Daphnia pulex: one gene and its partner. The protein of the gene in region 1 purifies or fractionates together with the protein of each later gene. This does not show direct contact. Links are inferred from orthologs where the notes say so. Each region holds a gene or a part of one and is shown on either strand. Other genes may lie near its edges.

Evidence for each region. Proteins that work in one complex are often made in the same cells at the same time.
Region 2: the proteins of DNA topoisomerase I, mitochondrial-like (region 1) and FACT complex subunit spt16-like fractionate together in Homo sapiens (co-fractionation; 3 studies listed by BioGRID and IntAct, with this or other methods). This does not show direct contact. The link is inferred for Daphnia pulex from reciprocal best matches to the Homo sapiens genes TOP1 and SUPT16H.

Annotation. Positions count from the first base shown.
Region 1 is NC_060019.1:12,290,875-12,294,842, forward strand, and holds the start of DNA topoisomerase I, mitochondrial-like, read left to right. Parts: upstream 1-1,168; 5' UTR 1,169-1,347; coding exon 1,348-1,386; intron 1,387-1,959; coding exon 1,960-2,031; intron 2,032-2,102; coding exon 2,103-2,210; intron 2,211-2,274; coding exon 2,275-2,481; intron 2,482-2,549; coding exon 2,550-2,845; intron 2,846-3,186; coding exon 3,187-3,503; intron 3,504-3,572; coding exon 3,573-3,716; intron 3,717-3,772; coding exon 3,773-3,968. UniProt on the Homo sapiens protein: Releases the supercoiling and torsional tension of DNA introduced during the DNA replication and transcription by transiently cleaving and rejoining one strand of the DNA duplex.
Region 2 is NC_060017.1:5,830,731-5,834,663, forward strand, and holds the start of FACT complex subunit spt16-like, read left to right. Parts: upstream 1-1,133; 5' UTR 1,134-1,391; coding exon 1,392-1,460; intron 1,461-1,526; coding exon 1,527-1,787; intron 1,788-1,858; coding exon 1,859-2,007; intron 2,008-2,072; coding exon 2,073-2,226; intron 2,227-2,284; coding exon 2,285-2,433; intron 2,434-2,493; coding exon 2,494-2,608; intron 2,609-2,665; coding exon 2,666-2,965; intron 2,966-3,042; coding exon 3,043-3,078; intron 3,079-3,140; coding exon 3,141-3,317; intron 3,318-3,381; coding exon 3,382-3,474; intron 3,475-3,538; coding exon 3,539-3,641; intron 3,642-3,729; coding exon 3,730-3,928; intron 3,929-3,933. Other genes in the region: adenosine 5'-monophosphoramidase HINT3-like, read right to left, coding at 1-11, 73-139, 192-309, 519-599. UniProt on the Homo sapiens protein: Component of the FACT complex, a general chromatin factor that acts to reorganize nucleosomes. The FACT complex is involved in multiple processes that require DNA as a template such as mRNA elongation, DNA replication and DNA repair.

The DNA of each region.
Region 1 (3,968 bases):
GACGGGCTCGCCTTACTGCCTTAGACGATGAGAAAACATCCATCGTGTTTACTTGGCATAAACATGTTTTCAAAGAATGATTTGAGTTTTAAGATTGTACCGATTAAGCTAGGTTAAGAAGCTTTGGAGTGCATGTAGCATTTACTCTGGTCAACCGTAAAACGCTCGAGTAAACGAAATAGAACTAAAGTGTTCAAAGTCTACACAAAATTGGATTGGAGATTTTTGAAGTAAATTTACCCAAGATTAACACAAAAGAAAACATCGAATTAACTCAGCAAAACCCAAAATAAGTCACTCGACTTTAAACAGTTTTATCCTTAGTTATTGCTGATTGGTAATATTACGGATATGACCTAAAATGGATAAGTAGTATATTTCTTTCTACTTCCGTTGAAGTAACATTAAATAATAATGCGACTGAGAAGTAAACACAAGTAAACATCAATTCGCCTTCAATGGCTTATTGTCTTATGTAAATTTGCACTAAGTGATTTTTTCAAATGTTCCATCCATTCTGATACCAAATTTTCGCTCCGTTTCCTAGCACAAATAAAATTGCAGAACGAATTCAAATAAAATTTAATATTTGAAAAATGCTGCAGATGCTGTTGTGGCATTCTAACTTGTTCTTTGGTGACGGCATAAAGACTTTGATGTGTACCTGTGCCGCACGTTGGTACTGTTACACTGCTTGTTCACTAAAATACGGCCATTCAACTCATGTATAAAAATCACCTTCAACTCAATCGTCCACTAAAAATGTTTTAAGCATCTGGTGTCTCCATAAGACTGTAAGGTCGCTATCGACTTTGGTACACTTAACAAGAAAAAAGTAATTTTTATATATTAATAAATGATAATATTATTAAATAAATGTGACGAAAAAAATTATTTTCCGTTTACAATAGCTTTTTCCCTTTAGGCTTACGGGTAGATAAGTCTTAAAAAATAATTATGAACATTTGATGATTAAATTATTCTGTTGCAATACAAATTTGCATAATCGCAAACGTTTCGAATACAAATAGTAATAATAAATAACGTGACAGACTCGACAGACTTCGTCAGGAACTTTAGATTTTTGCATTTTCGTTAGGTTAATTTTTACTGATAGTTGGCATTGCTGTTGAGGTTCATGGACGAGAATGAGAAATTGTTAGTTTGCTCACTTCTACGCTAGGAGCGCTGAAGATATGACCTGTGAGAAAAGTCCTTGGGTCCGTTGCTGAACGTCCGGATGAAAGACCTGGCCATGTTGGTGTAGTTGGCTTTGGAAGTTTGGACTCTATCTTTTTGTGAAAAAACGCTCCGGTCCACAAAAGTCGTCCTTTATTTGTCAACGAAATGGGCTCAGCAGAAGTTGATAAGCATACCCCTCCATCAGTAAGTTTATATTCATTCTTAGCAATCAAATCGTGCAATTTTAAAGTGTGTCGGTAAGACGTCGGGCAAATACTGGAATGGAGAATCTATGGATTTCCCTCGGAGTCGGCCGAAATTTTTCTAAGTTCAAAATGGCCGTCAGCGGCTAAGTCCCTTCGTCAAAAACCTCTTTCTTTGGAACGGTTGACAAGCCTTATTTTGAGGGCGGCTAACAAATAACTTTTGGTTTCAAGATCGCATGTTCGAGTTCAATTCCTCTTTCAATTTTCGTGAAAATCTGTTGAACATTTGACGTGGAATTAAATTTAAAAAGTTGAATTTCTAACCCGAAAACGCGCTGACATGGCGTCAGATTTTCAGAGTCCAAAAGATGTAGCTCAACAGATATTTTCCTACCTTTTAGTTAGAATGATGACAAATTCGTCGTAACCGAACGCTCTTGTTTACAGTACATTTCGGTAGCGACTTACAAATAATATCATTCATGAGCTTGTGTTTCATAAAAAAATTACTGTCATGGAAATCAATGACTTCCAATTCATTGGCTAATTTTATTATTTAATGATTTGATAGGGTGATGGTGCTGGAAAAGATATGTTGACTGGGTTGTCAAATGGCATGGATCGCCATAAATCCAAGGATAAGGTACAAGCAAAATACTTTTTGAACATGAGTAAGTTTAATATGGTTGAACTAACTGATATCTTATTGTTTAGGACCATCATTCTCACAAGCACAAACATAAAGATAAAGATCGTGAGAAATCTAAAGACAAAAGCCGTGATAAACACAAGGACAAGCACAAGGATAAGCATAGGGATAAGGTAGTAAAAGTTCTAAACTATTTAATTAAATATTCAATTAATTTGTTGTGATATTATTTTTAAGGATAAGCATAAAGACAAATCTAAGGACAAAGATAGAAAGCATGACAAAGAAGAACGCAGCAAGGACCGGAAGCATAGTAAAGAGGATAGAAAGGTGGAAAAAGAAGAAAAGAAGAAAGGGAAGGACAAATCCAAAGACAAAGCTGAAAAATCCCAATATGTTGAAGTTAAAAATGAACCTTTGTCTGAAGATGATGATGTACCATTGGTAAGTGTTGATAAACCTTTCCATGTTTTGACTAGTTTTAAAATTATTTGATTTTTTTTCTGCTTAAGGCTTCTCGCTCATTCAGCCAGACTTCACAGGATTCTGAGGATGATGATCAACCCTTAGCTTTTCGCCAAAAGGTTAAACCTGAGGTTAAAGCTGAAGTTAAAGCTGAAAAACCGGTGAAGAGAAAGGCCGAAGATTTGGATGATGATGATTTTTCAGCTTCTAAGAAGAAAGCTAAAAAAGTAAAAGAGGAAAAGAAGGACAAGAAAGAAAAGCCAAACAAGAAACCAGCCACTCCAAATGGTTCGCCCACCAAACGAGCCAAAAAAGAAAAAGAAGAGGAAGAAACGTGGAAATGGTATGTCTATTGTTTAAAGTAACGATTTCAAACAAAAAATGTCAAAACGGGTCCATATCGATATTTTGTGATCGATAGTTAATCGTAAGCATGGCGGCTTGTGTTTTAAGATGCCGTTTTTTTATTAGTGCAACACTTTCGAGAAATGCATTTGTTTCATCATATGTTTTAGTTAAAAATCATTTTACGTCAAATTTAGTTTTACGTTATGTATCCTTGGATATAAGATATTTACCGTGGTATTTTAACTCTTACAAATAATTCGTTATCCCATGTTATTTTTCTTTGCAACCTTCTAAAGTAACCTGTGTTCTAAAATAACGTTTGTTTTTGTTCTTTAGGTGGGAAGAAGAGAAGCATGAAGATGGAGTTAAATGGAAATCCTTAGAGCATAAGGGTCCAGTGTTTGCTACACAATATGAACCCCTGCCAGGAAATGTCAAGTTTAAGTATAATGGTCAAGAAATGAAATTGAGTACAGCTGCTGAAGAAGTTGGATCATTCTATGCTGCTATGCTGGATCATGACTATGTGACTAAAGATGTATTTAATAAGAATTTTTTCAAAGATTGGCGTAAATTTATGACTCATTCTGAGAAAGAGATTATTACTGATCTCAAAAAGTGTGATTTCACCTACATGCTTACCTATTTTAAAGGTTTGTCAAAATTTTCTGCTAGTTTCTAATTAATTTTGATGGTTGTTAATCCCATGTTTCCTTCTTTAGCTAAATCTGAAGAGAGAAAGAACAGGACCAAAGAAGAAAAACTTCAGCTGAAAACAGAAAATGAAGAAATGGTTAAGGAATATGGATGGTGTATTATTGATGGACACAAACAACGTATTGGCAATTTCAAAATTGAACCGCCGGGTAATTTATTATTTAAAGTTTTTCTCTTTTTAAAATGCTAATTCTATTGTTTGAAGGTCTCTTTCGTGGTCGTGGTGATCATCCTAAAATGGGGATGGTAAAGCGGAGGGTAATGCCAGAAGATGTCATCATTAACTGTACTAAAGGAACTGCACCTAAACCTCCTCCTGGCCATAAATGGAAAGAAGTTCGTAGTGACAATACCGTCACCTGGCTAGCTTCGTGGACAGAAAACGTCCAAGGGCAAGTGAA
Region 2 (3,933 bases), on another chromosome or scaffold:
GAAATCCCATTCTACAATTTAGTTGAAATCATTACTACCAATTTTTTATGAGGGTAAGAATCCATATGATACCTGCAATCACTCAAGTCTCCTCCATGATTCTTCACAAGTTGCTGTCCTACAGCTACCATTTCTTCAACTAATAAAAAAATATTGATAAGTTTATTTGAATTGATAATCAGGCAATTTACCCATGCTGACTGTTTCTATGGTAAGACTTTTAATATCATTGATGTGATCTCTAGGAATGACTAGAAGGTGGTTTTTAGCAGATGGTTTGATGTCATTAAAAGCCAAATATTTTACATCCTATTTATGAAAGGAAATACAGCATTAGGAAATGTATATCTTTATCTTATTAAGTACCTTATTTTAATATATCTAAGCCATTTCTTACTGTGATTTTCAGGTAATAGCTAGTCTACATTAGATTAATTGATTCCCTGGAAGAAAATAAACCTATTTGCTACAAAACGCATAATTTAATTGGTCAAAAATGAGAGAGGAAGAGCCTTAACCTGATGAACGATAGTTGCTGGCGCCAGACCTTCACAAATCTGGCAAAAAATGCATTTGATGGACTTTTGTACTGAAACCATTTTTAGGGAATTGTACTGTTTGTTTGTTTGTTTGTTTTTTTTTGAAGATAGGTGCACTGGCCGATTGTACTGTTTAGTTCAGTCATACGTAAAAATATTGACACTGACTGAGGGAATGGACTTTTCGCGTAGTCTGCAATTCTGTAAGGATGCCAAATTCCGAAAAGCAACAAGTTGTTTGTCATGATTTCGAATTCGAAGTATTCACTTAGATTCATGCAGTAGGACATAAATATCCTGTAGCATAAAAATCTTAAAAAAAATAAAAAAATATGCATATTTCCAGAGCTATAGAATCCCTGGTCGGTTCTCGGCTGTGTTGGCTTCCCTATCCCGGTTTCAGGGTAAACGTGGTCCGATTTGGAAACTGGAATGAGCGCTCTAGTGAGTGTGTCAGCTACTACGCTCAGCTACTTTTGAGAGCCTAGATGGCTCTGTTTCTAGTTTCCAATGACAGGCCCCGCCCTAAAACCCCCTGAAAATCGGACCACGTTTACCCTAAAATCGAGATGGGGAAGCCAACACGGCCGAGAACCGACCAGGTATCTATTGCTCTGATATTTCTGAAAAATCAATGGATAATATTATTATTAAAATCATAGTTGGCAACGCCCAGGTCTTTATGAACTTCATTCTGCTTTTTAGAGGGAAAAGCATGGGTTGCGTTGGGTAAACGGTCTGGCAGTTTTTTGTAACGAACCTCAGTACAATTTCGCCATTCCAGATTCGTAGTTTCAAGTTGAAATATTGCAGTTTCCCATTCGACTTGGATGATCCCATTTGTTACTGAAAATGGGAAGTCTCGCTGCAGATAGAGAGGTGTTCTTTCGAAGGATAAAGCGATTCTATTCGTCTTGGAAGGTAAGTTGGCGTCAAACAACCATGACAGTTGGATTTCATTTCATGCAATGATATAATATCTTATAGAATGAAGACTCTGAACTTGGGTTTGCTGATATGGATGCATTGGTCACAGCTTTGGGGGCGGATGAGGAAGTTGTGTACAGCAAAACATCTGCTTTACAATCATGGCTTCTTGGATATGAATTGACTGATACAGTTATGGCTCTGTGTGAAGATTCCATCTATTTCCTTGCAAGTAAGAAGAAGATAGATTTCTTACGCCCGCTGGAGGCAATTAAAGAAGAGAAAGGCTTGCCCGCTGTTAAGCTGTTGATTCGTGACAAAGTAAATCATGATACATATTTTCCATGTTAGAAACATGGAACTTCAACAAAGAAATTTTTCTATTTTTTTAGAGCGACAAAGATAAAGCCAATTTTGTGAAACTTATTGAAGCATTGAAAAAATCTAAAAAAGGAAAAAAGCTTGGAGTGTTCTCAAAAGACAGTTTTCATGGAGAGTTCATGGATGCATGGAACAATGCCATCAAGAAAGAAAAATTTGAGTAAGAAACATTAGAAAGTGTTATTAGAAATATATAGATAACAATGTGTGAAATCATATTTTCAGGACAGTTGATGTTAGTTCTGGGGCAGCTTATATGATGGCTCCTAAAGAAGAATCTGAACTGAATGTGATCAAGAAAGCATGTCAAGTATCTGTTGATTTATTCAACAAATATTTAAAAGAACAGGTTATGGAAATTGTAGATGCAGATAAAAAGGTTTGAAAAATTTATTATTTTTTTTTCAATGGGACTTAATTTGAATTTATTTGTCAAGGTCAAACATTCAAAATTAGCCGAAGGAGTGGAGAACGCAGCCACTGACAAGAAATATGTTTCTGGTGTCGATACGGGTCAAGTTGATATGTGTTATCCAGCCATAATTCAAAGTGGAGGGAATTACAGCCTGAAATTTAGTGCAGTGAGGTACATCTATCAATTAGCAAACTTTATGTGAATACATTAATGCTTCTTTTTATTTCACAGTGATGATAAACCCCTTCATTTTGGAGCAATTGTTTGTCTTTTAGGAGCACGTTACAAATCTTACTGCTCCAATATTGGTCGAACCCTTCTTGTCAACCCCACTGAAAAGATGCAGGTAAAGAAAAAGATATTTCCATAAATGAGTCTAGATTACATTCTTATGAACTTGTAGGAGACATACAACTTCTTGTTATCGGTTGAAGACGAAATTTTGAAATCTCTCGTCGAAGGAGCAAAGTTTAGCGATGTTTATAATGCTGCTGAGGCATACGTAAAGAAAGAAAAACCAGCCCTTCTTGACAAGATGACAAAAACCCTTGGCTTTGTTACCGGAATTGAATTTCGAGAAAGCTCTTTGGTGATCGGCCCGAAGAATAACGCAGTTGTCAAAAAAGGAATGGTCTTCAATGTCAATCTTGGATTTGCTGACTTGGAAAATTCTGATGGCACCGATGATCGCTATAAGAAATATGTATTTATATAAATTAATAATATTTATTTATTTATTTGTTTATTTAAATATATATTATTTTATTTTTAAAATATTAGGCTTTGTTTTTGAGCGACACTGTTATTGTATCCGATGTAAGTTATAATTTTGAACTTTTTCTTCTACTTGTTTTTTTGACGAGTAACATTATTTTTAGGGTCCAGCTACTATACTTACTGCTTCGAAAAAAAGGATTAAGAATATCGGTATATTCCTTAAAGATGAATCTGGAGAGGAAGAAGAGGAGGAGGAAGAGGACGAAGAAAAGCCATCACGACAGCCCCAGAATTTAGGTCGAGGCAAGCGGACCGCTATTCTTGATTCTAAACTTCGGGTACATAGTACTTTTCTTCTTATCATTTTCCATTGTTATAATTTATAATTTGTGTTTCTTTCAGGAAACATCTACCGAAGAAAAACGTAAGCAACATCAAAAAGAATTGGCTTCTCATCTAAATGAAGAAGCCAAACTTCGGCTTGCTCAGCAGAAGGTAAAGAAGACAAAAAGAAAATAAATGTGCAAAAGAATAACATTAAAATCTGATTTGGTTTTAGGGACGCTTGGAAGGCGATAAGATCCGGAAATCTACCGTGTCATACAAATCCGGGAAAGATTTGCCAAAAGAAGATGAAGTGAAGGAATTGAAGTTATATGTTGGTAAGCCCATAATTTCTCAAATATTTTTGAATGTGTGCTCTCAAATATGTGCTACAAAGAATGAATAATTCCACATTTAATATTGTAGATCGAAAGTACGAAACGGTCATCATGCCCATTTACGGAATTCCAGTTCCTTTTCACATTTCGACTATAAAGAACATCAGTCAAAGTGTCGAAGGAGACTATACTTACTTGCGTATAAACTTTTTCCACCCGGGTGCAACCATGGGTAGAGCTGAAACAGCTGCGTTTCCAAACCCTGAAGCCACATTCCTCAAAGAAATGTATT